Schizosaccharomyces pombe: one gene and its partners. The gene in region 3 interacts genetically with the main gene of each other region. Each region holds a gene or a part of one and is shown on either strand. Other genes may lie near its edges.

Region 1 (6,687 bases), on a different chromosome or scaffold from region 3:
ATAAAACAAACAAACAAATGTAAATAGCAATAGGCCCCCAAATTTCACTGTAAAACCGATTTTCATTTATAAAACTTTCATTTATCCAAATTGAAAGAAAATCTTTGACTTCAAAGTTCTTGTCTATTGCGAAAACAATCAAAATACACCAAATAATAAGCAAGGGCCAACGAAGTTTACTGCGGGTAGAAATCCTACCATCAGGATAACAACTATCATGAAATTTAGAAAATTCAGTAAAAAGGTTATTTAAAAAGAACTTTATTTTATCTGTCTTAATGTTTATTTTATCTTTTTGAGGCTTGATGATGTTGGTAAAGAGATTTTGTTTGTTTACCTTTTCAGGCTTACACAATTCAAGTCCCCGCTCCAGGTCCACATTACGAGTATCTCTTACCATAAATAACTCATTGTAACCAGGGGGGGTCAACCTGTTTTTTTTGCGCTTTCTGGATTTGACATTGGAATAAAACCACAGCACTGCAATTTGATAGCTTTAGCACCACTAGTAATGTTTTACAATGTAAAATTAAACAGTGTGGTTTATGGAAGATAATAAGAAAATATAATAAAACATTTTAAAGCCATAAATGAAAGAATTAAAAAAAGATCAAAATTGGTGAATGTTTTACGTTCTGAGATGTTTCATTTATTTGGGAAAAACATTATGATGTGAATATCTTGTAATACTTACAAACTTTTTTTATCGCAATTCCTATATAACGAAGTTGGTTTAGTTTGCATTAATATACGGTTCCCTTCAAAGTCTGTAAATAGTGTTAAGGATACCATAAATTGCAATGAAAATCATGTTCTTATGATTTGTGTGTAAATAATTATGTTGGATTGTTCATCATCACGGTTGCAAGTATACAGGATTATTAACGACACATTGATAATGATAATAATGTATGGTAGTACAATCAAACTCGATCTATAGTATGCTGATTTTATAAAATAATAGTTGAAAACATCGTACGCATACAATAGCTATAAACATGAACAACCTAACTACGTAGCAGCATTATAAAGCATATAGTTAAGTATAGTTGACACGAAAAATCATGTTTAAGGTGTGAGTATTTGCGAAAGTAAATAAAAAGAAATGGAAGACTATAGATTTGTTTGTGTTAAAATTGTAAAAATAAAAATAAAAATAAAAAAAAATCTCGTTGAAAAATTTATATTCGTATGTAATTACAACATCGTTCGCTACCTAAATTTTATTCTCTTGCGAAAAAGTAAAGAATAGGAATCAACGACTAAGTCTATACATCGGACTAACTCTTTTAGATCAATTGTACTGAAAACTTTTGGTTCCGCTTAGCCAGTTCATATTTTCTTTAAATTATGGCTCTGGGATTTGGGAACAAAAGAAAACTGAAAATGAAAGGGAAAAAAGCATGAAGCAATGTTACAAATAAATGTATAAGAAGGAATTCCTGTATTAGAAATTATATTACATTTTCATATAGAAATGATGATTTATGGTCTATTGATGTTTTCATCGTTAGTGCTTCCCATGATAAAAACAAATAAATTGCCATATGTTGAATCCTTCAGATTTTGAGTAAGGCTGAAGATGAAATGTCGCAATAATTCATAACTGTAATACTACATAAAGACTTTGATTATTGAGTTTAACTTTCATACATTTATTGCATTTTTAGCAAATGCAGTAGAACGGGCTTTCAAGAGATACAGAGGAAGAAAAGCGTAAGGGAATTATAAACTGGAATTTGTAAACATCTCTTGGAAATTATATCAATCTTGAATATTGGCTCATCATTAAAAATCATAGTGGAATACTTGGTTGTTATTCGAGTAGTTAGTCAGAAGTTATTGTTTTGATACACATAACCTTACTTGAATAATGTTACAAAAAAGAAAAATTATAATGGAAATAGATGAATCTAAAACAAATTTAATTTTTAAGCGATAAAATTGAAACAAACATTCGTCAACAAACTACTCTAAAATTTCACCTGCTACTAGTTTTACTACGAAAACGTAATATACTAGGGTTTCACAAGGTAAGTCATACATTCTAAATTTCTCCTTCCAGCATTTTGAAAATATCTTCTTTGCTCTAGACTTTGTTAAATACAGATGTAATAATATATGTTAACCACAAACTGCACCTACTTGACATGTGAATGGATGATATCTAAGAGGTGAAATTCAAATCTAAAGTAATGTTATGCAACATCTGTTAATTGTGTTTGTATTTCTTCTTAAAAATAATTACACATTTAACACGAAGCCATGAAAAGCGTTAGAGGTTTCGCCTCTAACTGATTTAAAAAGGAAACCCAAATTTTTTCCCTTCTTAATTTATGTAAAAGTATTGAGAAATACCTAGTTATAAAGATGAAATTTCGAATATTTCAAATTTCATATAAAGAAAGATTTCTTTACAAGAAATGAATGAGTTTTAAGAATATATTCACAACAAAGCATTTGATAAAATTGATTTATTAAGTATGCATTGAAACATTCTAATGAGATTTTTTAAAGGAAACTGCAAAAAAATAGGGCGGTATATATGCAACTCGTTAAAGACGAGTAGTATAAGAATTGCTTCGCTTTCTTCAAAGACTAAATATGGAAAAAGAGTGGGGGATTACTATATTAACAAGTTTTCAGAACAGAAACAGAAACAATTACAACTATCTACAACCGAGAATCTCTTTAATTAATGTTTTCCAGTTCAGTCTGGTTGAAGATTCGTTTTTTGGCTTCTAAGTTAAAATCCAAGTAAATAACTGACGGGTATTTTATTTTAGAATAAATCGATAGGAATCCGAATCGTTTATAATATAATAAACGGGATAAAAGCTACTCATATTGCTAATGATAATCCAGTAGGCATACTACGACTGAAGAAACATAATTTTTTTTCGAATTTTTCCTTATCTAATGGAACCAGTACCATTTCGTGAATTAGCAGATTTTCATTTGTTTGTTTTGGCCTCGTTATTCAAATTCAATAATGTAATGGAAGATTTTCCAAGAATAATAGACGTTGATAACAATGGGTGGGAAACCGCAAATTTTGTTTGAAAATCAGAGGGAAGATCTACACAACAAAAAGAGCAACAAATTTGAGCAGTAGAGAAAAGACCAAAAAAGCGTGTGTTTTCTGAGACAAATGTGTCACAACTCGCCGATAAATTCGCAATCACATAAAAATTGGTATTCGTTATTGACTAGTGGGAAAACCACGTTACCTCAACGATTTGCAGTTGTTACCACTTTTGGTGACATTTCAAAAAGAAAAAGGTGATTTGCAACGTTTGAAATTGCGACGATCATGATCTACGCGAAAATATCTCATTTTATATATGTACGAGTTAATCTATTTTTGTTGCTGAAAAAAGAAAAAAAAAACTATATAAACCGACTAAAATCAAACATTTCTTTACAAACATTCAAAAGATATTTCCATATGATTTTCAAAAACTTAATATCTCTCTTTTTCATTGGGCTCGCTACCGCCATACGCTTCAACCTCACTGATCTTGAGTGTAGTAGACTACGCGGTCCGCATTGTGGTACGTATCTACTGAAAGTAGTAGGAACGAATGCTACATACGTTGGTGAAAAATCATTTATAGGTCTTGATGCTTTGACTGAAAGTAAAGGTGAATTTTTTCAGCGTATGTTGGAACAAGAACCTCGACTTATTCCACGTTTGTTTACGATAGCTGAAAACGACACGGCCAACTTTACTCCCTTGACATTTACAACGTATTTGAAAACATGCAATCCTCAAAGTATTGAAAATGCAATGATCCCTTTTGTGAATACTGTTACCAGTGAAATTTCTTTTGATGCATGGGCGTATACAGCACAAAATTCAAGTCGGATAACGGGTCTTAGCAACCAACTGATGAATTCTACTCTATATAATGTTCAAGTAGCAACATGTACTCCCGGATTCTCTGCGTTATTGTTAGATAGTCCTACAATCAATGTTTTTAATAACGAGGAAGGCATGCCAAGTTGGTGTCAGCCCATTGAACTTATACCAGTTTGTCCTTTGGATGAGGGATTCAACTGATATATATATAATCGTTATTTAAATCGTGGGATTTAAAAATAGGGGTTAAATTTATCCTCTAAAAACATTTAATTAGAAACGCTTAAGCAATAAAAGTCTTTATACTAGATAAAATATTGTAAATTGTTTTTTTTATTTTTTTTTTTTATTTTAAACTTATACTAAACATATTTTCTAACAAATAACGGAATTCATAAGTATTTTGATTTTGTTTATGTGTTTTTCGCTTTTTATTGTGTTTTAATGGTAAGGAAAAGTTATAGCATACTTCATTTTACTAGTGAAAAAAGCATAACAGGAAATCTTTTAAGTTAGCGACAAACAGTTACTCGGCTTCCAAGCGGTTGCAAATCATTCGTAGTAGATCGACAATCTTGGAATGAGTCTATCAAACAAATCCGCGCTAGGCAGTACGCTAAAATGAACAGCAACACATTTGATTTTACCGAGTATTGAGTATTCTCATCGTCGTTATAACCATTAACGGATTTGTACGTTTTGTTTATCTTCACAGAGCCAAGAGATCAAAGAAGGACTGAGGTGCGTTAAGTACGGTCCAACATGTAATTATGTTCTTTGTCACAAATTAGAGCCACAGATCCTAAAAGTCTAAAATACGAGACAAGGTATGATTTTTCAAACTGTCCCTAGAATAAGAGTTGATCAGCCAAAATTATTGTGCAAGATGAAGCTGTAAGGCTAACTAAAGACTAATGATTCTATAAATAGAAAACATAAAACATAATGCTGAATAAAATGTTATAAGCTACTGAGCTCAAGTCGCTTTTAAGGTTTATAATAGTTTCATTGAATCAAGTTTCTCATAACGAAATAGCGTATTGCTTCATAAATAAAATTTTTTGTTAATACCGGTGTTTTTTAATCAGCTCGGCACGTTCCAAGTACTCTGAAAATGTGTGTGAAAATCCTCACTTTGATCAGTTAAATCAACTAGTATTTTGAGGGGTCAAATGGTCGTAGATTTCTAATTTGTTTTCCATACTTGAATAAGATTGGAAGACTACAGCCACAAGCTAATAAAATAAAGGCAAGTAAAGTACACCCCCATCCGTAGTTCAGTCGACGAAATAGACTTTCAGCAAATAATGGAAAGATGGCTCCTAATAATAGTTGAAATATTTTTACACCCGCTGACGCACTGGCTGAGTAAATTCCATATGAATCTACCACATACATGTTTAAGGGATTGGAAGTCATAATGTACCCACCACCCATAATGGCTGATCCAATTGTTGGCACAAACCAAAAAATCTTATATCTTGCAGTCCAACCGAAAAGTAAAATTCCTATTTCAAAAAGTGTGATTCCAATAAAACCCATAGGAAGTCGAAATTCAGGTTCACCTTCACCACCATTTCGCTTTACCAGATATGAATAAAACTTTTGGTTGATAGGCATGGCAATGAAAACTGCTGAAAAAAGTCCAAGGGTAAGCAGGACTTTTCTTCTTTAATGTCTTCAATCTTCCAATAGTTTATAAAGAAAGCTTTTTGACATTGTTTCTTTTTAAAGCGAGGGAATACCTTTTATGGCCCTGCCACCGTCTATAACGTGATTTGTTTGTTTCGCTAAACGCTCTTAGGAAAACGGAGCTATCAGAGTGACATATATGACTTAACGAAGCTGTGTGTGGCTCATGATCACTATTTAGAATTGAATGAAAACAACCAATGTCAATCACAGTGTCGAAATGCCCCTTGAATTCATTTAATCTTGAAAAATCGCGTTGATTAAAGTTGACATTACTTTTTTCACTAGATGTTTTATCGATTGCTTTAGAAATAGCCCTTTCGGAAATATCAATACCCACGACTTTATATCCAAGACTGGCTAAATATCTAGCATTTCTATTTGGTTCACAACCGGCATCTAATACATTCTCATGTAATTTCCCCAGTTGTACAAGATTCATGATCTATTCGTCTGGTTTCTCATTATCAAATGGTGTTGCGGGATCTTCATACATATTTTCCCAACTATTTTTTACTTCAGAGATATATTTCTTCATTGTTCTTAATGATATATAAAAAATGGTGAAATATTTATTTATTGCCCCATCATGTTTATTTTTATATCCTTCTTTCTCTGTCAGGAAATCTATTTCCGAGCTGACGATAAAAAAACATGTTGCAAGCCGCCGAAACTACCTCGGCTTTTATTACTATGTCCGAAAAGTGCGCGAAATATTGGAATGGCTTGTAAATTATGCATTTAATCAAATAAAGTGATAGTAAGCGCAAAGTGTATGACTCAATGAAAATCGGGTGTATCAACTACTCAGTTGTTTACCATACAATGTATTGTAAATTATGGGTAGTGTCGTCGCTATTACATTTAAAAAATATATTATATTGAAGGTATCTAATAAGAAGTAAATGTTTTTCTGTGTAATAATAGTGAATTCTTCTCATCAAAAATATAAACGAACTGATTTTTCGTCACCTTATTAGGTTATACAAAGTCATAACAATGCAAAACCAAAGCGGATAGCATATCAAACTAAGAATATGACTTGCTATTAAAAATTAGTTTCGCTTGAGTTTTATTTTAAGAGTAGTAATAGTCAGAATTTATTGTGCTGATACACTTCAACTTACTTGATT
Region 2 (9,068 bases), on a different chromosome or scaffold from region 3:
ACACGAAGATATATTGCAATTTGAGCATAGAAGTAATTACAGTTTTAATTACTAAGAAGTTCAATTGGAGGAAATAGAATAATTACATTTGTTCATAAACATTGAACAGAGTCTACCCTACTAGCTAGCAGAAACGATAAAACGTGTGGACGTATTAGCAAAGTTTCAAGGAATATGCTTTTGACATTAACATATGAGATTGAAGCAGCTATCTTCCTCCATCCCAAAAGCCTTTATGAGGGATAATAGCTTCATCTTCAATGTAGGGACCCACCACCTCAATAGGATGAGAGGCAGCTCCAAGAATATCTCGTGAATTAATGTATAAAGGCGGGCACTCACCACTTTTCTGTGTCAGTTTAATCAAATTTTCGTTCGATAAGCCAAAAATCATTCGGCGAATACCAGACCAAAATATAGCACCAGAACACATGGCACAAGGCTCCGTGCTGGTATACAGAGTACACTTCTCAAGGTCTCTTCTTGTCTTCGTAATCAAACCTACGGCACGGGTCTCAGCATGTTGAGTTACATCCCCGTCTGGAACTCGATTTCCCGCAGACATAATAACATTGTCATTTTCATCAACAATAATGCATCCAAATGGATGTTGACCTTCATCACGAGCTTGCTGAGAAACTTTGATGGCCTCTCGTAGATAAGCTAAATCCTTTTCTGAAAGTTCAGTGCTGGACATATTGTATGTTAAAAAAGAGACGCAGGTTGTGTTTTGACTATATGTATGTAATTTATAAATTGTGTTAATTTTTCCAACTACATGTTCAAAGAAACGACATGCTATCTATTGCTACTTGGAATTCGGGAATTGTCGATGAATCGGTTGACATCGATTATGATCGCCGTTCTGGAAAGACAATGTAGAGCAGAAGAGGTCAGCTCAGTGTCTGAAGTTAATACATCTACACAGTCGGTCTACGCTAAAACCATCAATGCTGTTTCGGTCGTCCAGAATACATGGGGATTGAAACTCGCATTTCCAGTCATCATTAGCCGATTAGGAATATAATACTACATAATCTATTAAACATTGCTATTTTGCAAGTATAAACTACTGTGCGACTAAAAATTACGAGTGCTATAAGGCAGCTTTTTAATAAACGTAACTTTTTAAGCTATATTTTTTAAGACGACTGTAATTTCAACTGCAATAGCTGTAGTAGGACAGATTTCAATTAGTAAACAATAACTAGTACAAAAAAGGTAGAAAAGAATAGCGAATTATCGACAAAAAGAAGTAGATGCATATTGCCAAAAAAGAAGGGGTACATACATAATCGGGTGTTCACAGTAAAAGGAAAGTTGGATGAGTGTATATCAATACGAACATAACAACTTTTACATATGCTAACATGAATGATAAAAGGGAGAAATGATGGAATAAACACTACACTTCAGGTAAAACCTTGGCATCATGTGCTTCTTGTAATGCTTGTTGAGTAACGGCAAGTCGACTGTGTTTCCGAATGAGATGACCAAAGAAGTAAATAACATAAATCGTGGCCACAAGCGACAAACTAATAAAAGCCAAAGTTGCCATGGCCCAAGTGGTAGTCATATTGTCAAACATGATAATACCAAGATGTACAAGAACAGCAGCAATAGCAAAACTTGGTAAAGTGAAAGCAGCGATGGCGGAGCCAGCAACCGATGGGTAGGAATCAGTAATATAGTTAATCATGGCAAGCCAAAGTTGAGGATCACCAACACCTAAAACACCACCTGCAATTAAAGGACTTACCCAAGAAATTCGGCCATCTGAAGTAAAAGCGAACCAAAACAAGCCTGCTGGGAAAAACCAAACGGTAAGCAGAGAAATCAAGAAACGTGCTTCTGGACGCGCTACACCTCCATGACGCCTTTTATCCCAACGATAAAGCCAATTTTGAATGGGTTGAAGCATAACAACGATGGTGACACCAACCAAAAAGTTCAAATAAGTGAGATTTGCACCCATGTATCCCATTTTGTAGTTGTCGACAAATACGGGAAACAGTCCATCCAAGTAAAGGAAAATCAAACCATACGCAAAGCCGTTATACAAACCCAAAGCCATAATGATAGGCTCTGTACACAAAAGTTTAAAAGCGGTGGATAAGACAAATTTTGTACGAACTACAGCTGATTTAGCTTTGGCAAGAGTAGAGACTTGAACGGTTTTTTCTCCAGTAGTAGAAGAATAGTTCATGATGTTGATGACAGGTAAGGTCTCAGGACACAATACGCAAAGAATTACAAAGAAACCACCAACAATCATATTCATCCAGTAAAACCAACGCCAATGATCATAAAGAGCCTCACCAATGGGGGACCCAATAGAGGCACCTGCATTTGCACCCCAAACAAATAGAGAGATACCAAAACCGACGGTTTCAGGAGTGAAGATATCACACATACTACTTGCAACGTTAGCGAGAGCAGAACTACCAAAGGCACCAGCAATAGCACTGTTGATTGCCATCATGGGTAAGTTATAAGCAAGGGCTTGGGGAATTTGGAAAATAATATAAAGAATTAGAGAGCCAACATAAACCCATTTACGACCAAAAATATCCGACATGGGACCTAAAAGCATGGGACCAAAAGCATTACCGACAATGAAAAGACTTTGTACAAGATAGGAGACTTGAATACTGCAATGCCAATTAGTTTGATAAATATCAAAGAAGTTGATACAGGCGGTGGATGACCAAATGACATATACCTCTAAAAATGTGTAAACGGTAGCAACAAACAACTTTTTCCACAAGGGCCATTTATGAGGATGAGCGGGATGGTTGGGATCAATGGACATAAGAGCCTTTGTGAGATCCCAAGCATCAACATTTTCCACCGAGCCCTCTTCATCCTCCGACATACTAGGTGACTCATGTTTCTTGTCTTTGGCAGAAGTCTCTAGTTTGTCTTCGGTAACGATAGTTTGCCCGGTCAATGGAGGCTCCTCTTCAACATTCTGTGGTTCCACGTCGTGATGGGAGCGGATGACATTAAGAATTGACATCGTGTATCAAAAAATAAAAAAATAGAATAAGAAAAGACAGCTAGAAGAAAATGAAGAGTATGCTGCAACGTACGCAGTAACAATCGACGCAGAAGCAAAAATGGGAGGGGAATTAGGAAGAAGAAGAAGAAAAAAGAAAAGGAACAGAAATATAATATATGTATAAAAATCTATATGTCTTATAAACACAGCAGGAAGAATTAACTTGCTATGTAAAAGTTTGTAGGGAACGAGTTCAAAATAGGTAAATCCAAAGCAGATAAAAAAGGGGATCAAGACAGTATAGAGAATTTATAAATAAAATAAAACTAATCAATGATGAAGAAAATGGGAATGAAATGCTTATCGACTCTTGTTTTTTTTTTTTAAAGTGAAAAGCAATAATTGAATCCAAGGAAAGAATACTAAAATTATAAAGTAGAGGGTATAGGGTATTTAGTATAGTATAGAAATGAATGGCCCAAAGAAAAAGTGGATTGCCAAATTAAAAGAAGAAGAGTAAAATTAAACAAATTGAAAACGATAACTAATTATACACACCACAAAAGATACACACACACACACAAAAAAACCCACGCACACAGATACACTCACACAAGCAACAGAAAGACCCAAATAATACAAAGTATGTCTTGAATAACAGACGAACCGATAATCGCTCTCACACAAAGTCCGTTGGGTGAAATAAAATGGGGAGTGGAGGAAAAAGAACAAAATATTCTTTTTTGCTTTATTATTTTTGATTCTGTTTTTTTCTAAACCAAGAAAACAACAACAGCCCTGATCCCTTCTTATTACAAAAGCTAAGCAATCAATTTGCTATGTCCTACTTTTTTTTCCGCTGGTTTTCCAAACGCAATTCGCAACTCAACAATGCCGGTCAATATCGTTTTATATGAAAAAATACGCAGTCATCGAAGTTTCAGATACTTTTGCTTTTGCAATAGATATGCCTTCAAATCTTAGATAAGAGTAGAGGACAAAAAACAATTCTATGGTACAATCATCCTGACCCTACTATTTTAAAGATGAATCTAGCCACCCCAGTCCAACGTAACTACCGCCCCTGCTACCTTGCCGATGCAAATGTGAAGATTGCAGGTTAGGGGAAGGAAACACGTTAGAAAAGCTTATCGTTTTTCCGGGAGCAAAACGAGGAAAAGAGGAAGAAGAGGAAAAACAGGGTAAAGGACGTCGGCAGGGCAGCGGGAGTAGGGCAGCAAAAAGAGAAAGGAGAAAAGAGAAAAGAAAGAGAGAGAGAGAGAAAAAAAAAAAAGGCAAGAGAAGAGATGAGTAAAGTGGATAGAAGTATAGTAGAAGAAGAAAAAGAAAAAGAGGTAAATGGTAATTTTAGAGTTAAATTGTAAATGTTTTGATTATTAATTCTTTCATTATATATTCTTTTGTTATTTATTTTCTCTTTACTCTTTTACTCGTTCCTCGTTAAATTTCTCAAAATGTTTTCTCTCTTCCGCTAAAAAAATTTTCTTCTTCTTCTCGGTTGGCCATTTTCTTTTTTCTTTTTCTTCTTTTTGCCTCCAATCTCTCTTTGCTGAAATCATTTGATTTTCTGGGTCAAATACATTTCCATTTATTGGTTCATTTACTACGATTATCAGTCTCTCTTCCATTTTGTTTAACAAGCTTATACCTCAATTTACGAACCAACCCAATTTCACTGCAGTAACAAAATAATAATATCACACATTTATTACATCCCAGCAATGCGTAAAATCCGGTACTATGGAGTATATTTTTAATACAAGTATATCGGGCAAGTCAAGAAGCAAAAACAAAGACAAAGAACAAGACACTATCTAATCATTACTGATAAGAATGAGATTTTTTTTATGTCGTTACACACACCGTTTTCGTATTCCACTGCATTGCTTTTGCTTGGTGCTTTACATCCTCGTTTCCCTGTGCGGTTGCATTCCACGTGCTAGAGATTAGCGAGTGGAAAGTGACAAGCACACTAGTCCGTAAATTCGTATCATGGAGAAAGATGGAAAAGACAAGGCCCATTCCATTCTTTTTGAGTCTATATACAGGATGATGGCTCTAGCTATCAAATGAATGAGTAAGATTTGTAAGATGGAGATAGGTGTAGGAAGGATTGGGTTGGTGATGAAGGGATGCGTAAATTGTAGACGTAAAGATGTAGGATGAAAAATAAAATGGGATGAGAAAAGGCTAAGGTCGACACTATGTTTGTCATGGGTTGAATAGGTCAATGAGTTGAATAGTCAATGGACGATTGACTATGCACAAAAGCACCATTGATTGTTTGAATTGATTTATCACAAAGATGATTGATTCATCATGTCTTTGATTTTATTTTACATTTCAAAATTGTGTGGTGCTATAACACACCTCTCTTTTCCTCCTCTATCGCATTACTCAGTTCTTCTCTCTCTTCCTCGTCTCTCATCGCTATTTCCTTTCAGCTGCTCTCTCTCTTTTTCTCTCGCTATCCCATTTGCGACACCCTCGGCTTCGTTGTCATGAGGGAATTCCTCGGACACCCGGTCCACGACCGGCAAAGACTTCGGCAGAAACACGGTATTCCCGAAACACTTCCTCCGCATTTTTCTTTCCCCCCTCACCCCCACATAGGAACTTTTTCAAAGTTGTAGTCAGTTCCTTTTAGCTAGTAGCAAAGTGGTTCATGTTTGCAGTCGACTGGGGGACATGGGTCTATGTGGGGGATGTACATTTACCAAGATGGCTGGCATCTACGGGAAAAGGTAAGCCAGCCAGGCAAAGAAAACAATACTGAGAAATCGAATAAAGGGTGAATCTGAAAAGCACATACAAACATACGCAACCCTTAAGGTTTCCTTGTTTGTCCTTTTTTTTTTTTTTTTTAAGATTCTATTTTCTGTTCTCGTTATTTAATCTATTTATTCAATTTATTCATTCATTTTTTTGTTCCATTTATTTATTATTCATTCATTCATTCATCTTTTTTTTTAATTTCCTTTACATTTTCTATGCGATCCTTGCTTTACGACTTCTTGTGCTCCCTTTTTGACATGTAAACAATGTGATTGGAAAAATCATCCAGCTCCGGTAAAAGTGGATCGCATCCGTTTTCCTCTTCACAACTTGAAATCGTGTTCAATAAGTTCTAGATGTGACCTAAGGAAAGAAAAGCTTTAAAGTATACAATTGACCGATGCACGAATCGCTTCAACAATTTTTAAACGTGTGTAGATCGACTTTCCTTCTTAAACTATCATCTTATATGTACTTACTCAAAAAGTAATTCATAACTAAAAACAAAAATTCTACTGCCGACAATGCAACAAGATGGATTTGTTGAGAATTAAATTAGCATACATTTCCTCCTTACATACTTCCTTAGCCATGTCTGTGAAAAAGTAGAATATGTATAAAAATGATCTGCAAATATGCAACTACAAATGAACATGTTATACAAGGGGAAGCCAAGTCAGGCCTTGTTGCATGGTATAGCTAGCTTACCTGCCAATGTTTCTGCAACTCAAAAGAAACTATTTGGTAATTACCATCTATCGTTTATTTTTTTCTCCACATCAAATTAGTCATCCCGCATCTAAAATCCGTTTTAATATTTTATTGCACAAGTCATGTGATTAAGGTGTCCTTTTGAACATGTTTGATACGTTCGTTCAAATGATTCAATTAGCTATCTTTGTTTTTTATAATATGGTCCGGCTTTATGCAATTTGGACTCTTTATAAAGATAAGACTATTGACATATGCGACTTTTTCTCTTTTGAGCATGTATGCAAATTTACCGTTATAAACGTTTTTTTAAGACATGCAAGGAAAAAAAACCGTAAAAAAGTAAAGTAAAATAAAATAAAATGATATAAAAAAAATAATAAAATTAATTTAAATTAAAAATGCGAATAGATTGTAAAAAATAAATAAAATTTTAACAGATGAAAATAGAACAAATATATTAATTTACTTTGTTTAAAAAAAAATTTTTTTCATAATCGATATGATGTTGCAAATACTTTTGGTAAAATAAAACGTAGTAAAAAATATTATCAATTAATCGAATTTGATCATTCACAAATTTCATGCTCAAAAGTCTACACTGACAAAATGTCGTCTTCATTATTTTACTTTTTCTTTTCATTAACAGTTAATCATAAAATTTTTCATAAAATTACCATATAATTTACTATTGTTGAAAAACATTGTCTACGGCCATACCTAGGCGAAAACACCAGTTCCCGTCCGATCACTGCAGTTAAGCGTCTGAGGGCCTCGTTAGTACTATGGTTGGAGACAACATGGGAATCCGGGGTGCTGTAGGCTCCTTCTCTTATTATTGCTATTTTATTTTTTTAATTTTATTGTTTAAAGATAGATTGTGGGCCTTATGCCCTGTTAGCTTATTGACAAAATCATGTATGGTTCAGTACTTTGAATCTCTGTGACTTTCGAACAAATCATTGCTTCATTGCTTACAAAGTAGTAGATTGATAAATTGCATCAACATATCAAATTCTCGCATGCTTCTTTTTCTTTATTTCATATTTCTCTAATTGTCTTATTGCTGATTCCTTAGCGCGATTTTCATGTAGCAAAGTGCTTCTTTATGTGGGTCTGATTGCTTGCTTATTCCATTGATTTATAAAACACATAATTTTATTCAACGTATCTCTACTATAACTATACTGATTAATAGAAAAACTTTTGTAAGTTCATATTTACTTGTCGAAACTACACAATGTGGATACGAACTTAACCGAAATTGCAATCGGTCCTTGTGATCTTCCTTGGGATAATTCATAGGTTAAAAATCAGTAGAATGAAACATGTTATTGGGTATGAAAGAAGGACATGCTGCTAAAAACTCTCTGATGACTTATTTTTTGTAACCTCGAAATGAAAGCTGGTTACTTCACCTTCTTAAAAAGTCAACGATCCTTATGATATTATTTCTCAATGTTCAAAGGCTGATCATAATTCCAAACAGTACTCTTTTCATTCAGTTTATAGGCGTCTGGAAATAGCTCTGGAAACTCTTTAGCATAGCTGTAAAACTCCCACTTTCTTCCAGACCAACTTGATTCAATGGGCTCCAATTTTTTAGATAGTTGCAATGCCACTAACTCGGTCTTTTTCCAAACCCGGAGCACATTTAAACCCATTAATCCTTCAATTTGTTCGTTTGTGGCATTCGTCCTTTCAATTATTTTACAGATCAAATCGGGATATTTAGAGACGTCTTCCAATCCCTTGGGGCCTTGGGGAATTCCATCGAAATCGGATCCTAAACCGACATGCTCCCAACCGGCTACCTTTATGATATGTAAGATATGATCTGCAGCATCATCGATTGTTGCACGGTCGCTTCCAGGCTTACGAATGAAATCTTGATAAAAGTTGACTTGTACGACACCACCATTCGTTTTCAGCCTTTCCAATACATCGTCTCGGACGTTTCTTTCGTGCTCTGTAAGTGTGTATGCGGAGGAGTGTGAGAATATTACGGGAGCTTTGGTTACATCGAGGGCGTCATGCATAGTGCGGTGGCTTACATGCGATAAATCCACCATCATACCGAGTCGGTTCATTTCAAAAATACACTCAATTCCATACGCTGAAAGACCTCTGTCTGGAAGGCCCCCAGTAATGGAACTAGCTGCCGTAGCAAATGGGTTATCACAATTATGAGTCAAAGTTATATATCTCACACCAAGTGAGTAATATTGTCTTAATACAGCCAGAGAAGTATCCACCTGGTGCAAACCTTCAACTCCCAAAGCAATTGCAATTTTCCCATTATTTCGAAACGCTGCTATGGCATCGTCTGCACAATCGACAAACTTCAAATCATTATTGTATTTGCAAACCAATCTGCGAGTAACGTCAATCTGTTCTAGTGTATCGCGCACCACAGTAGTAGGTGTATCAAAGTCTTGGTACAGGTAATTCGGATTTTTGCATTCAATGAAGCAGCTAAAAAATTGAACTCCGACTTGACCTTGTCTCATTTTTACAAGATCCGTGTGACTAGTTAAACCGTTCTCAAAATCAAACTCCG
Region 3 (8,226 bases):
TAATCTTAATTTTTTTATTTTTTTGACTTTATTATATTAGTCAATTTTATTTTTCATAACTTTTTCTCCAATGCTTCAATTTTTTTGTAGTTATTAAAATTGGGTAAAATACATAAAAATAATCAGTTCAATCAACGACTTAGCATACAGCCTTTTTCCCTTTATGTTTAATTCGTAGGCTTTTTTAGTTTTCTTCGTTGTTATATCTTTAATCATTCCTTTTAACTATTGTTACTTTTTCAAGAATTTAAAGCTTCTTTTGTTTTTTACGTATCTGTAATGATCAAAATCAATTTGTCATTGTCAATCCTGACTTTTACAGCTTTACTTTTTTTCTTTTACTATCAACCAAAGGCAGCCCTCTCTCTTCGTTCTACATTGCTCAAAATTTTCACCATTAGTGTACTCTTCATATTTCTATCTTCTACGGTGGATATACATTAGTTTTTATCATCACGTTTAAATTGCAGAAAATAGAGCCCGACTGTAGGCAAGCTCTTAATTCAAATTTTTTCAGGCAATAATTTCTGTTCTCAACTGACGGGAAATGTATAATCATTACGAATTCGAACATCTGCAACTGAGCTCATTGATGCAAGAGGACATAAACAGTAAAATTTATATAGTTCTTCTGTAAATTTTCAAGTAATAAAAAAAGCTTTCTTTAATCATTTTATTTAATATCGATTGCTATTGTTCGCAGATCATATAACACAGCAGCCACTGAGTCTACTATCCAAGGGATTCTGTGTTGTATGCGATATCAATTGGTCTGAAATTCTCAAAAGGATTTCATTAGTTTAAAGCATTAGATCCATGTTTAATGCACATCTCTTCATTAGAAGTACGAGCTTGGCGGCTAAGCTATTGCATTTCTGAATTTCATAACGTACCTTGATAGAGCAATATTAGAGTACCTTACCACAAAGATTGTTCATTACTGCCACTAAATGTTTGAGTTTGAAATTTATCAATCAAAAATTTTGACTAACCAACCTATTTTTATACAAAACTTACCTTGACGGTAATGCTTGAATTTTGTTACTAAAATGAACGACTAAACCACTTATGAACAAGTTGAACATATCGATCTGTTTTGTAAATTATTTATACTGCGTAACAAGTTATGCTAAAACATCACGGATGAGTATTTTTAAAGCTGACGCATCAAAACGATTATAGTAAATCCGCCCATGTCAAAACGTTACTTGGAAATAAAAAGGTTATAAAAGAACACTGAAGTTAATTTTGCACTTGCCTAGCCGTACATATTGTACCATATATCTTTAACAAAAATAAATTTGTGTACGGCTTAGTATATTATGTGTTGAATAACGACAATACTTTCCATGCAGTTTTTTCGCTTTACTCTTTGCGGCATCTCATAAATAACCAAATTATGTTAAATCATACATGTAAGAAAGCTTGACAGATAAAAATAAACATAGACAAAAAGAAGCAAGAGATAATACAATACATCTCAAGTTTATTGCTCAGCTTGGTAACGTTAGGTAACGTGCTATAGAATACGTGAATTTATTTAAAACGTTATCTAAATTTTGCTGTGCAATTGAAAAGCGTCATGTAGGCAACATATTCATGAATAGAAGTTGATCAAATTGCTGATTAACAAATTCAAAAATTAGATAAAAAAAAGATTTATACCAATATAGGAATATAGTATGAGTAGATAATTCGTGAGATTAATATTTCTGTAAAAGTTAAGTTTATGTCGCATAATGTCGAGAAGCAGAACGGCAGTATAAAAGCGATACTAAACGGCGATTAGCAGTAAAAGAATATTCAACAATAATGTTAATTTTTTAATCAAGCAAATGAGAAAAAAATGAATCCAAAAATGATTAAATATAAATGCAATTATTAGCACTATCATTTTGAAACAAGTCCAAAACGACGTTGGCTACAATGACAAATATTAGAAACAGCATATTCTTGTTCAATGCTTATAGTTGGTAGTCATGAGTAGAGAATATAAATACAATGCACACGATGTAGATTTGATGTGGGTAAATGAGCAAGTAATTATTGATCGTGGAAATGAAATACGACCTATAAGCCTAAAGCATAATTGATCACTAAAAAGTGCTCTTTTATCTCCAACTTGAAGAAAAAGTAGAACAAATAAAAAGGCATCACAAGCTGCCATACAAAAACTATCAAACTTTGTTCAGCTAAATGTTTTGTGCATAACGATGATTAGGAAATTAGTGTGGAAAAGTTACAACCTTATGTACTGTTTCGGAAAGATACAGTAAAACAAACAATTCAAGAGAGATCTAAAGAGACAATCAGGTTAATGGCCTTTAATAATAAGAAATTACCGCGATGTACAACTTAAGCAGGTGTGACAAAAAGTACAAATGTACGTTCGAGCAATTAAAACTACTATTGACATATCATAAAATAATGTCAAATGTTGCAAAAAATAACAAACAAATTTGTTTTCTCGAGGTCAAGCGAAAAGATATTTACATGTATGAAAGTCGAATAATTGTGATAATAGCGAGGATTTATGAACAAAGACTACTCGAAAATACAAAACTTATTTCTCCCTAGTATATGAAGATCAAAATAACTTAAGCTAGTTGAAATGCATGCAATGTGTTAAACGTGGAATCATGAATTCGCTATGCATTTTATTGGCGTTTTCTTTTTCGTGTATCCGCGCTAGTACACTAGATTACGTTGCCTCTCACCATACATCGAATGTCCCTACTATCATCCTCCTACTTATATTTATAATCAATACGTGATCATCAGATCATTCCCTTACACGCTCCCATTTCAGATTATGCATCGTAATACTAACAAACTATTTTGTATAAGCGAAGTAATTAACTCCATTCGATGATGAGCGATCAGCTTCTGGTATTATTGTTCGCATACATATCTTGTAACATTTGTTACTCAATAGAAATTTAAGGTAACATTGATCATAAAGTAAAAGCTTGCCGTACTAAATTGTATCCGCCTAACGTTTGCGAATTTTGCAGCAAGCATTGTTTCGTATTTAAGATCACTTTTGTAGACAGATCTTGAGATAACGCGACAAATTTTGGGGCTTTTAAAGTTCGGAATTCTTTCTTCCGGATCAGAGATGTGTAGTGCGCCAGAGTAATATATGATTTAATATTCTTCCGTGTAGTACACTTTTCCATGCGAACTTCAATTTTTACAGCTTTTGTTTGAACTTTTTTTATTTTCTGCAATGTATGTCAACTATATTGGACTCTTTGCTTTCGTTCAAATTTCGTTGACGTTAGCTTATCCTCCCGGTCGTGTGGAGATTTCTGAAATATATGATTTTGAAGAATCTAGTTCGTATAAAGGACAAGATATTGATACATCCGTACTTTACACTTTGTCTAAAAGGAAACCTGCGCTCGTAAAACGAAGTACCGACGCTTCGTATGCCCCTTTCAATGTGACCTGTTCAAACGACAATCTGTTGAGGCCGGCTTCTGAAGGTTTAAATGAGGGCGAACAGAGCTATATCAACAAACGTATTTCTAAGGTTAACAGTGAACTCCGATCATTTATTTCTAAGACAGGTTTGAATGTTGACTTGGATAAGGTGGTTAACAGCTCGGATGGTCCACGTTTAGGAATTGCATTCTCAGGTGGTGGGTTACGGGCGATGGTTAATGGAGGTGGTGCATTCAATGCTTTTGACTCAAGATTCGAGAGTGACTCTCCACTTTCTGGTCTGCTGCAATCCGCGATGTATATCAGCGGTCTTTCTGGTGGTTCATGGCTTGTTGGATCAGTGGCTATTAATAATTTTACGAATATAACATACTTACGTGATAATGTCTGGAATTTGGAACATAGCGTTTTTGCTCCTCATGGGGATAATGTCATTGAAAATTTGAATTATTATAATGACTTGCGCAAAGAAATTGATCAAAAGAAACATGCGGGCTTTGACTGTTCTTTGACGGATTTATGGGGACGTGCTTTGTCCCGTAAACTTGTTGATGCTGAAAGGGGAGGACCAGGCATTACATATTCCAGTATGAGAAATCAAAGCTGGTTTCAAAATGCTGATTATCCTTATCCCATCATCGTTGCGGATAGCCGATTAGAAGAAGAAACGGCCATCCCTGCCAATACCAGTATCTTTGAGTTCACGGCGTATGAATTTGGTACATGGGACAATGGAATTAAAGCATTCATTCCAATGGAATATGTGGGAACTCACTTGTTGGATGGGGTTCCACCCGATAAGTCTTGCATTCATAACTATGATAATGCAGGTTTTGTTATGGGCACTTCAGCTACTTTATTCAACTCTTTTCTTCTTGACTGGAATGAAAATGTCAAAAAGAATGATACCTATTACGATATTCTTCATGCGATTCTTGAAGATCTTTCTAAGCATCAAGATGATATTGCTCCTTATCCCAATCCTTACCAAAATTATACTACTTCCAATACCTCTGTAGTGAATGCGTTCGAACCGTATGATACTATTGATCTAGTTGATGGTGGTGAGGATAGGGAAAACATTCCCCTTTGGCCTTTGTTACACCCACAACGATTTGTGGACGTTGTATTTGCGATTGATTCGACTTATAATGATCCTTATGGTTGGCCCCTTGGATCTTCCATTGTTGCTACATATGAGAGAGTTGTAACCTTTAATGCGAACAAGAGTGTTGATGTGCGTGGATTTCCATATATTCCGGACGAAAACACTATTATCTCTTTGGGACTAAACACTCGTCCTACGTTTTTTGGATGTGACGGTAAAAATACTACAGCAGGAAATCATGATGTAGACAATAATACCCCACCTCTCCTTGTATACTTTCCAAATTACCCTTGGACTTATTATTCCAATATATCGACATTTACTATGAGCATGGACGACAAGATGGCTAATGGAATTCTTGAGAATGCATTTATGTCGACTACGCAAAACAATAATGAATCTTTTGCAGTTTGCTTAGCATGCGCTATAATTCAACGCTCTTTGGAACGCAAGAAATTGAGTACTCCTACCCAGTGCTCTTCTTGTTTCCAAGAATACTGTTGGGACGGAACTCTTGCAACTAGTACGGCTTCTGTATATGATCCTACCGTAATGTCTGCTGCGACAACATCTCGTGCACCGTCAGGCACAACCTCGGGTACAGCCTCTAGTACAACATCTTCATCTGTATGTTCTCAAAAATTCACGTTGATTAAACTATTTTTTTTTTCATCGCTAACTTTTGTTCTAGGTAGCATCAGCCACTCCCACTCATAAACATTGGTGGGACTCGATTTTCGAAGCGAAAGAAAATCCGTAAAAAGATTCCATTGATGTTGTTTCAATGGATTCTCAGGCATGTGAGAAATTTAGAATAGATAGATTTACCTTTATTGTACTTGGTTACGAATTCGTTATGAAAGAGAACTAAGGATTTTCCTCATTCGTGAGACTGCTCAGTTAAACCCTTTACGTTTGATGGAGCTATGTAAACGGGTAAATGAATAATTTGTTATCTCTAAACTTTTTTAGATAAATGCAACCGGTCGAATGGATGAACAGGCTTAGTTGGCTCAATCTGAGATCGATGTGCATTCACGTAAAGACACGAAACGAAAGAATGTAAGCATGAAAACGATTAAATACAACATTGCTTTAAATTGATATATACGTACAATTGGGAATCACAAGTTGAATGAAAAATAGTCCAAGATCGTTGTGCTAATGATGAACATTAAATGATAGATTGTTTTAAAAGCTCCCGGTTTTTTAAAAAATAGATAATAATAAAATTGACTACAAACATTTAAAAGTAAGACAGAGACTTGTTAATTCAATATATGAGGAGTCACTACTAAATATTTTACTGTATTTTGAAACTTCCTAAAGGAAGGAAACTAAATAAATGCTGAAAGATTTATCAACAGTTTGGTACAAAAAACAGTAAAAGAGGAATATTCAATTGGTAGAACGAAATCGTTTAAAGACCCATTTGTTTTCGGTGTGTTGCTAAAAATGTAGCATCATCAACTTTGCTTCTCAATGCCATCCATTCAACAACATAATCTCCAGTAGGGTATCGTAGCTCATCACTTTCATCCGTTGCCGCTTGCAATATCACTTCTGCGATTTTTTGCGGTGGTGTAGCTGTTTTCAATTTAGGTAGCAAGTCTTCGTACAACTTTTGTTTCAGATTGTCGTACTCAGCATAATGTTTACCTGCACCCTCTTCAACCCTAAATTCAGTTGCTGTAAAACCAGGTTCTATAATCTTGACTTTTACACCAATGCTTTGCATTTCCCAAGTCAGAGCTTCAGAAATACCTTCGATTGCATACTTGGTACCATAATACAAACATCCAAGTGGGAATGTCATCTTTCCTCCGATCGATGATACGTTTATAATCATTCCATTATGTTGTGAGCGGAAGATAGGAGTTATTGCTTTGATAACCTCCAAAGCGCCAAACACATTTGTATTGAAAATGTTATGAATTTGTTCTTCGGTAGTACTTTCAAGTGGAGAATAGACGGAATAGCCAGCGTTATTTAGTAACACGTCGATTCTACCAAAATGCGAAATTGCTTTTTCCACAGATTTTTTAATCGAAGAAAAGTTATTTACATCTAATTGAGTCACCAGAACATTTTCAAGTCTGCTTAGCACTTTGGCATTCTTGGGTTCACGCATAGTAGCAAAAAATAATGTTTGCAAAATATAAGCTTTTTAAATAGTTTGGTAACTAGTATATTCAATTATCATGCGAATAAGAACACTTGAAAAATAAAAATAAAATAAAAATAAAATTATAAAAAAATTATTTCTTGTTTTCTCTGTTCAGAGGAAAGGAATTATTTAAATTGCTTTACTTTTACATCTTCCACAGAAACGATAGACAGTCGTAAATGCAAAACAATGATGAAAGTGAAATGAATTTTAATTGCCAAAAAAAAAAAATCTACAATTAACAAGACATTGGCTTCCTTATATGAAAGCTATTAAAAGTTTAGTACATTTAAATCGTATAGTCAATATACTTTTTTCAAATTTATAAATTTACGGGTTCATTGTTAACATTCAATATTGCTGCGAACGCACGGGATTATAAAACGAATCCTTATAAACCAACCATGCAATAAATATAAATAGCAAACAAGCTAATTTTAAGTAAAAATAAAACAAAGAAAATTTTGGGAGACAGATAAATATAGTGTTTGCAATCACCTTGTTACCCGTTGTTGCTTTTTTACGAAGCCTAGAGACGAATCAAACAAAGACTTTGGTAAGCATGAAAGGAACAAAGTTATGGATGACTATAAATTTAGCAAAAAATATATTCTTATCTTACACTAATCCAACATTAAGATAGAGTTAATGAGACACGTTAAAATCACTATTTCTTTATTTCTTTTAGATGGAAAAAGTAAACTACCAGAAACTAAACTGTTTAACTTAACTTTTATAACGTGCGACATTCTTGAAGAAGGCAATTGGCAAATTTCATGTGCCTTAATATGTTGCATAAAATTATTTAAAAGTCGTTATCAGAGAATTTTTGAATTCGCGCGTAGTCTATTCCTTAATATAGAATAGCATATTAGGTTGGCCTGAGGTAGTAACAGTTTTCCTTAATTAGAAATATCTTCTCATTGCTCCGCGTTCAATAAAGAATTAAAATATATTGATAGAACGGGTTGTAAATGTATATATAAGAAAAACTAGTATGGAAAAGTAGTGCTTTTATTATTCTCTAGCAACACGTTCTCAGTATCATATTCATTCAAGTGCAGAAAGAGGATTTTCTGTTAAATTTCTGATTGACGGGAAAACCGTTGATGCTATACCACTTGAATTTTAAGAGAAAAAGAAAAGAAAAAATCAAGTGATATTCTGTATAAAAATTTTCAACTGACATCTTTTCAAAGAATTGAAAATTATTTTTATATTATATTCACGTGCATTTGATTTGTCATTCTTAAACACCCCAAATTGCATCTCTTGGATGAAATAATACTATTTTTAATTAATTTTTTTTTTTTTTTTTTTTTCAAACGAAATATTTGATATTTTTTCATTATGAACTTCTTTCTTTATTTTCGTACCATCTTTCTCATTCAACTATATTTTTTTAACTACTCCACATTTGGTTGTTCGGCAAGCTCAACTAGTGTACAAAGTGACACAACAAACCAAGTATCTGTTTCATGTCCAAAGTATACCACTATTTACA
Region 4 (7,788 bases), 1.3 Mb from region 3:
TTAGAAATAAATAAAGCTTTTTGATAACCATACAATACATTATTAAAGGCTCGATTTTTGATTGTAATTAATAGATAAAAACAACTAAATTTATTATCTTTTTTCAGAACACTCCAAAAACGTTCAATGAACGTTCTAAGAGAATAATAGGCAATCTCTTCTCAGTCGAAATAGCTCAGAATAGGGATATTACAAATGGGATTGGCAACATTTTTACAAGTTCGATTTTGGAATTGATAAAAATCATCAAATTATTTATTTCTGTTCTTCGCAAAATGTTGAGCCTTTCAATGAACTAATCCGCTTATGATGCTGAAAAATTGTTAGGTAGCTTGAGTATAATTAGATTCCCTTTTTACAATCTGTGATCAAAAATATACATGTTTTTGTTCTTTAATTTTTGTGAAGACCGACTTCCCTTTATAACTAGAAAGTCAGATTACAACATTCAATGATGGGCAAGTTTAGAAATGGAAAAACCAAATAATTTAATTTACAATTAGCAAAAAAACATAACAAACGAATAACATTTAAACTTCAGAAGCACTTTTAGGGTTAAACAGGGAGAATTTAGGATTCCAGATTTGACGACCTCAGAGCACTTGCTTCTAACCATCTCCTCGAACTCGTTTTTTAAGGAAAACACTCAAATAAAGTCATCAGGCGTTTATAAAAGAAATAGAAAGTTAAATCTAAATTAAATTATTAGTTTATGCTACATCCAAATAATAGCTGAATGAATCAAGCTACACAGATTATCCCATTCACAACTTCTGGGTCACTTGTTGACTACGTAGACAGTACGGTGTTTTTTCCAATGTTTTCCTTGATCTAACTTTACCTTTTAGGAAAAGTGATTGTTGTTTTACGAGATGGAAAAAAACTGATTGGAATTTTAAGGTCCTTTGATCAATTTGGTATGGTTTGCGTGAATAGGCGCATAAGTGAGTTTACTAACTGTGTAGCAAATTTAATGTTGCAATACACGATTGAGAGGATCTATGTGGATGATATGTACGGGGACATAGACAGAGGTGTGTATATTGTTCGGGGCGAGAACGTCGTGCTTTTAGGTGAATTGGTAAGTTTCGTTTGTAACATAAAATATTCGAGCATCTTTATAAATTTCTTTGAACGTGGGCTAAATATTTCGAAAAGGATTTGGATAAGGAGTATGATGCAGTCAAACAATTGCGACGTATGCCTGCTGAAGAACTGTATCCTTTGGCGAAGCTTCATGAAGAAGAGAAGAAGAAAAATATACGTGAGAAGGGCAAGTACCTTCATTCTGTAGGCTTTAGTGTTGACGGCGGACATGATGATTTGTATTAGACAACGGTTGAACAAATTTATCACAATATTGCTATACCGTTTGTTTACAGTCACGATAGAAAGCTATCTCGACCGCTGTTTATTCCCCTTTTAAATGGATGTAATGTAATTTTTAAGACATGAATCGTCATAATCCCATTACCGTTCGTTCAAAGTTTAGTAATCATTGTGCATCTTTTAAACATGCAGTTTTTATCTTTGTCTTTTTTTTGGGGTCCGTTAATACCAGAGATTCGTCAAAGTTCTGCTTAGAAATTTTGAAAGTAGAGGATACGCGGTCAACCGCTGGGTCAATATCAGATGCTGGCCAAATCCATTCTAGTAAAACCATTACAAGATAATCTATAGCTATGAGTAAACAAAATAGCTTACCAGCCCATTGCCCACATCCGTAATAAAGCTTTAGACGGTCTATTAGTCTAAGATTATTCTCTGAACATATACTGTCGTAAACCTTTTCTGTCCTTTCCGCGACATCTATCCACGAGTACATTTGCTTAACCTCCTCATGGAAAGTTTCGGTTTTGATTTTATGGTCAAGATAATCAGTAATAACACTCGAAAGTGTATCAGCTAAATCATCCTCTTCAGGACGGGCGAATCGTGTCATGTGGGAAGGCAAGACTTCAGGAACACCTCCCACTTTTGTAGAAATCACATAAAGACCACAGCTTGCGGCTTCAACTAAAACAGTGCCGAAAGCTTCGGTCAAACTAGGATGTAAATAAATATGACCCCTGACCATCACATCACGAACTTGATCATGTCTTACAGAACCAAGCATTTCAACGCGATCCTGTAACATATACTTTTCTCGCATTTGTTCCAAATCGATTGACTTGGGTCCGTCGCCAGCAATAACAAATCGTACTTTAGGGTGTTGCGCACAAATTCTGGGTATAACTGCGATTAAAAGATCAATGCCTTTGTTATAGTAAAGCCTTGAGATTACTACTATGGTTACTAAAAATGTTAGATTTTTTCCTTAATAAACGAAAAAACTCACAGAAATCTTTTGAAGCTTTAGATGGGTCTGGCTGAAAGTTTTCCGCTACTAAGGCATTGGGAATCACGGATACTCTTTTTGGATTTAGAACTGCACGAAGCACCGTATTTTCGCGGCTTCTTAGTTAATAATTTAAATACTTGCTCATGAGATACTTACCAAGTGTGAGAGACACAAATAACATGATTTACATCGCTCATCGTAAATTTTAATAACTTATTTGTAACGATGCTGCCAGCATCTGCAAAACCAAACAAAGAGTGGTCGGTAAAACAAGTTTTCAAGCCCATTGTACGAGCATGCAGAATAGCATCATGGCATAGAAAGGATAAACTGCCATGACCGTGGACTATTTCGATATTTTCTCTAATGACTATATTGCGGAAAATTGGAAAAAAGGAAAAAAAGGAAGGAAATGTTGTTTCACGATACACAGTCTGCATTGTTTAGTTTCAACGCTATGCGCGATCAAAATTTCAATTAAAAACTTACATGTAACGGCACGTAGTAAACGGTTAGCCCATTAGTTAAGTATCTGACGCCAACTCGATCCTTATAAGCATGTGTGATAACTAATATAATGCATGTTAGAGCATGTACAAGTTGACATTATCATAAGGCTAAACGCATACCAATTACTTTATGCCCTAAATCAATCAATCTTTGAGAAAGCTGAAAAATATGGCTTTCAATCCCCCCAGGTTGAGGAAAGAAGAAGTCTGATACCATTCTAAGCATACAAAGTTAGCAATCTATTGAACGTTGGGATTTCAATCTAAGAGAAAAGGTGATTTATAGAAGCTTATTGAAGCCAGTATATTATCATAAGAATGTTAAAAAATAAAAAATGCTATAGGCTTCATTTTGTACTAAGAAAATCTCCTTAACAAACAATATTGATTGTGAAAGTTGCATTTCAAAACATACGCGACCCTGTATCCCATTTTAGATGAATTTTAAACTTTTTTATTCATTCAAAGAAATTTTTGGTTTTTTTTAATCTACTTTGGGAGTTGTTTACTCTTCAATGGCATATTATTAGAAATTTGGGTGAGTGTAAGAACAACAAAATTAGTCCCAAATGAAATCAGCCTTTCACAGTCAATTGAGGTACAGAAGTGTTTTGAAAGTTAAATAATAAACATATTAATTTCTATGAAAAGCAATGACTTAAAATCGTGTTCTGACATCAAAGAAGTAAACAGAGTAGGATTTAACAATTCTTTAACGTATAAGAACACCCTAAGTTTACTTTAAATAAGACTTTGAGAGAGGCTGCTTTACGGCAAATTATTCTCACAAATATTTGCCAAGCTATTTAATGTTGAGAAGGAGGAAGTATCGCTTGAAGTGCTTGAGTTGTCAAAATCGTTCTGCAGCCCTTAGTTGCTTTTTTTTTAAAAAAAAAAATAATTCTATAGGTGAAGACAATTGGATGAAACAGTAGTTTACGACAGTTTACAGTATTAAAATCAATCTGCACCAATCTATTCAACAATGATTCAAGACCATTTTCTCCATTTCACATTGAGCATATATCCACTTCTTTTGAAACAGGTAATCCTGTCAAAAAGAAAAACACCTTAAATGTGGTATTTTTTTGATGTGTGAATCTTGTAAACCTGATTACCATAAAGGCGAACACAGACCAAGATGGAGATTGTACGGATATTATTTATTTTCGTGAATTTTACAAATTTGACGCCTAGCTAAGTGTGCTTATGCTGTCCTCCTCAATATGAACTTGTTTGGACTTCTTATTGACCGTAATATCAACGTTGGTTATTCAAATCTTCTTAAAATAGAAGTTACAAATTACACCTATCATATTAATTAAATCTACTTGCTGATGTCGAAAATCAAGCGAAATAGCTGCAAAAGGAAGCTAAATTTGGACGATCAAGTCGAAGTCATTAAGACCACTCCTGATCTGATCAAAAATTGTAGGGATGGTTCTTAAGTTTAAAAAAGTTTTATTTTTTTAAACTAAAACATTCCAGCGCCTTTTTTTAACCTACTATCCCAAGTTGTGGTTGCCGAGGCTTTTCCCCGGACATACCAAACAGAGGTTTTTTCGATGAGTTTGGAAGAGCTATTTAACCTGAACAAGGTTGTTTCACCTAAAACAGAACAATGAAAAATTTGGTTGTTTTTGGTACAGAATCGCATCCCAAGCTTACAGAAAGTATTTGTGAACATCTTTGTCTTGATATAGGCCGGGTTGAACTTTCAAAGTTTAGGTAAGAAAGTACATTTGAGTGTTCGAAGAGTTTGTAGCAATTGGGAGGGTTGGAGTTGCCTATAAATCTTCTATTTATAATGATTTTCTTTAAAAGCTAAAGTCACTACTGAAAGTATGCCGTTTTACCCAACCATGATACGGGTCGATAGCTATCAAAAATTTTAGATAGTCGAGTAGCTTGCCCCTACTGACAGTTTTATACTCGCACTTTCAGTCCATTAATTGTTAATTGGTTTTTACTTTATGTTTAATTCATAATTATTTGATCTTAGTCTCTATTTAGTTAATGTTTTTAGTGACTGATAAAGATTTGGCAGCATCATCTTTGAATGCATACTCTTATTCCATTTTTGATTCCACCTCTTTATCACATCTATCTATGTTTTTCTATTTGATTATATTAACGTGTATTTATTGCAGCAATGGCGAGACTTCGGTGAGAATTAAGCAGTCCGTTCGTGGTTGCGACGTTTATATTGTTAGTCCAGCATCTGGACAGGTAAACGACCATTTAATGGAACTGTTAATTATGATTTCTGCTTGTAAAACAGCATCTGCTAAAAAGGTTACCGCCGTCCTTCCTGTATTCCCATATAGTCGTCAACCTGATCAAAAATTTTCCTTTTCCGGTGCTCCTTTATCTGACTTGCAAGATGCGGTTGTTCCATGCAAAAAGCAAACTGGTTATCACCCATGGATTGCACAATCCGGCACGCTAGTAGCTGATTTGCTTATGTGCTCTGGTGCTGACCATATAATCACAATGGATCTTCATGATCCCCAATTTCAGGGCTTTTTTGACATCCCTGTAGACAATCTTTTTGGCCGACCATTACTTAAACATTACATTTCTCTTAATATCCCGAATTATCATAACGCAGTAATTGTATCTCCCGACGCTGGTGGTGCCAAACGTGCTACTGCTATTGCTGATGCTCTGGGTTTGGACTTTGCTTTAATTCATAAGAATCGCCGACATGAATACGGAACATCTTTGATGCTTGTTGGTGATGTACAAAACAAAGTCGCCATCCTCATCGACGATCTTATTGATACCGCTTACACACTAGTTCGAGCAGCAGAGTTTGTCAAAGAACATGGAGCTAGCAAAATCTATGCTCTCGTCACTCACTGTGTTTTATCAGGAGATGCTATTGAGCGTGTAAAACTTTCTTGCATTGACAAGCTTATTGTTACAAACACCGCTCCTCAAACTATTACACCAAGTGGATGTTTTGACATAATCGATGTCGCTCCTACCTTTGCGGAGGCAATTCGTCGCATACACAATGGTGAGAGTATTTCAATACTGTATGACCACAATCAAGTTTGGGTTTAACTGTACGTTGTTCATATTATTTAATTTGTTTTGATCTAGTTGGCTTAAGACTATCCGATTTTTTTTGATACTATCAATTGTCCTTTTTCTTTACTTTAACTTTAGACAGTTACATTGGAAATAATTATTATTTACTTTGAGTTGACAAAATGATTATCAAGCTAATTTCCTAAAACTAATTTCAACTTAGCTAATCTCTAGTGTAAAACTGCTAAATATAAGGTTCTTCACGACCATTATATATGTACAAGCTATGTAGAAACTATATAGGCAGTCTAATTGCACGATTTCGTCATGTTTCATACAAAAAGCCTAAAATTGTCTGGGTAATGAAGCTTGTAGGTATTTCTATACATTTTAACAGTATGTACGCATACTGGTTAGACGGAAAAAAGATGAACAATAGAAATGGTGATAAATGGAGGAGCGAATCAACAAAACATAACTATATTCAATAATTTTTCAAACGTGGTCGGGAAAGGACGAATGGAAAAAACAAAAGAATGTCAGTATAAAAGAACATGGTTATCACATGATTAAATATAGTAAACAGGCAGAAACGACAGGAATTACAAGGTTATCGTCAAGACCCCACACATCCATAGCTTCTGCAAAGGCACCAATAAATCCATTTATCAAGCAAAGCCAAGGGAAAGGAATTCTGCTTTGAGCGGCCAAGCTGTCAGGACCGGTACGAAACAAGCCCCAGTACACATAGCAACAAAAAACACCACAAACGAATGCGCCCAAACTTCCAGCCAAACTCTTATTTTTGGCAATTTTCGGGGTATACTTGCCCCATTTTCGACCAACGGTTGAGGCAGTAGTGTCACACCATGACAGTAAAAGGACACTCATTACTGCTATCTCCTGAACTTAGTTAGTAACTATGGCATAATATATAAGTAAAAGAAGAAGGAAGGTGAAGTTAGGAAAAGATCAAGCAAGGCAAAGTAGATTTGAGTAATCATGATCAAAAATACTAACTTAAACTCTATGCAACAACAATATGCTTGGTCTGACAAATACTTAGAATAGAAAATCATTCTCCGTGAAAAAATGGGTTCTATAGAGTAGTATGTCCAGTAAAAAACAAAACCCTTCGGATCGCCTGGAACAAGGAAAACCATATCTTCCTTTTTCTTAAAGAATAATAACAGTAATGATAGACATTACAATGACTTTTACTTACCTCTGGAAAAACTTTTAAAACAATCCATACCCCGATCATATAAAAAATAACACCATTCCATGCATTTTTTTCGGACTCTCGCATCAAAGGACCAATAACGCGATTGTAAAGGCGGCTGAAAGCTGGCCAGTTAAAACGAATTACATCTCCAGTAAATGCAGGTATGAATCCAATTTCTATAACCGGTATGATTTGAGCAGCGTGGTATCCACATCCCTGAAGTAATAGAGCAAAAAATCCTAGACCCGGTTAATCCAAGTCATAAAAACAACTTACCAATAGAAGTATGGAGTGCTTTACGGGGAATTTCATGCTTTTTGGACCATTGCGACCACGTCAATTTAGTCGACATTGGATGAGTATTCGCTCAGTAGTGTTTTCCAATCTAAAGGTATTTCTAATGGGTAAAAAAAAAATAGCGATACCGGCCGTGATGCAAGGAATCGGTATATGCGAGGCAAGGAATGTTCTCGCATATAGCTCACTATTTTTTTATCGTTGCACTATTCCTCCTTATTCCGTAAACATTATGAGCTAAAGTCAAAATTAATAGAATGAATGACTTCCTGAGAGTCCCAAAAGAAACCGATTTATTTCCTTCATCAGTTGGAAAAAATTTATTTATTTATCACTGCCAATATAAGAGCTCGACTTCCTAGATGAATAGCATAGCTTTG

What was found.
Region 1: mutations in SPOM_SPBC1348.10C (region 3) and SPOM_SPAC977.05C together harm fitness more than expected from each alone (negative genetic interaction), as found in Schizosaccharomyces pombe (one large-scale study listed by BioGRID).
Region 2: mutations in SPOM_SPBC1348.10C (region 3) and SPOM_SPCC965.13 together harm fitness more than expected from each alone (negative genetic interaction), as found in Schizosaccharomyces pombe (one large-scale study listed by BioGRID).
Region 4: mutations in SPOM_SPBC1348.10C (region 3) and prs5 together harm fitness more than expected from each alone (negative genetic interaction), as found in Schizosaccharomyces pombe (one large-scale study listed by BioGRID).

The regions. Positions count from the first base shown.
Region 1 is NC_003424.3:33,144-39,830, reverse strand, and holds SPOM_SPAC977.05C (Vel1p domain-containing protein), read left to right. Parts: upstream 1-3,448; coding exon 3,449-4,063; downstream 4,064-6,687. Other genes in the region: SPOM_SPAC977.06 (uncharacterized protein), read right to left, coding at 1-400; SPOM_SPAC977.04 (uncharacterized protein), read right to left, coding at 5,015-5,482; SPOM_SPAC977.03 (methyltransferase), read right to left, coding at 5,559-5,996.
Region 2 is NC_003421.2:2,306,431-2,315,498, reverse strand, and holds SPOM_SPCC965.13 (pyridoxal family membrane transporter), read right to left. Parts: upstream 4,001-9,068; 5' UTR 3,020-4,000; coding exon 1,406-3,019; 3' UTR 1,099-1,405; downstream 1-1,098. Other genes in the region: SPOM_SPCC965.14C (cytosine deaminase), read right to left, coding at 209-697; dpe2 (dipeptidyl peptidase), read right to left, coding at 7,957-9,068.
Region 3 is NC_003423.3:23,376-31,601, reverse strand, and holds SPOM_SPBC1348.10C (phospholipase), read left to right. Parts: upstream 1-3,229; coding exon 3,230-5,182; intron 5,183-5,246; coding exon 5,247-5,315; 3' UTR 5,316-5,447; downstream 5,448-8,226. Other genes in the region: SPOM_SPBC1348.09 (dehydrogenase), read right to left, coding at 5,976-6,686; SPOM_SPBC1348.08C (glycoprotein), read left to right, coding at 8,073-8,226. UniProt on the Schizosaccharomyces pombe protein: Catalyzes the release of fatty acids from lysophospholipids.
Region 4 is NC_003423.3:1,278,033-1,285,820, reverse strand, and holds prs5 (ribose-phosphate pyrophosphokinase Prs5), read left to right. Parts: upstream 1-4,441; 5' UTR 4,442-4,471; coding exon 4,472-4,578; exon of another isoform or gene 4,579-4,628; intron 4,629-4,918; exon of another isoform or gene 4,919-5,000; coding exon 5,001-5,919; 3' UTR 5,920-6,069; downstream 6,070-7,788. Other genes in the region: mRNA-decapping complex subunit Lsm1, read left to right, coding at 737-800, 849-917, 966-1,081, 1,159-1,332; pig-A family phosphatidylinositol N-acetylglucosaminyltransferase subunit Gpi3, read right to left, coding at 1,496-2,295, 2,339-2,454, 2,498-2,775, 2,831-2,910, 2,971-3,067; phosphatidate cytidylyltransferase Ptp4, read right to left, coding at 6,448-6,789, 7,112-7,350, 7,388-7,463.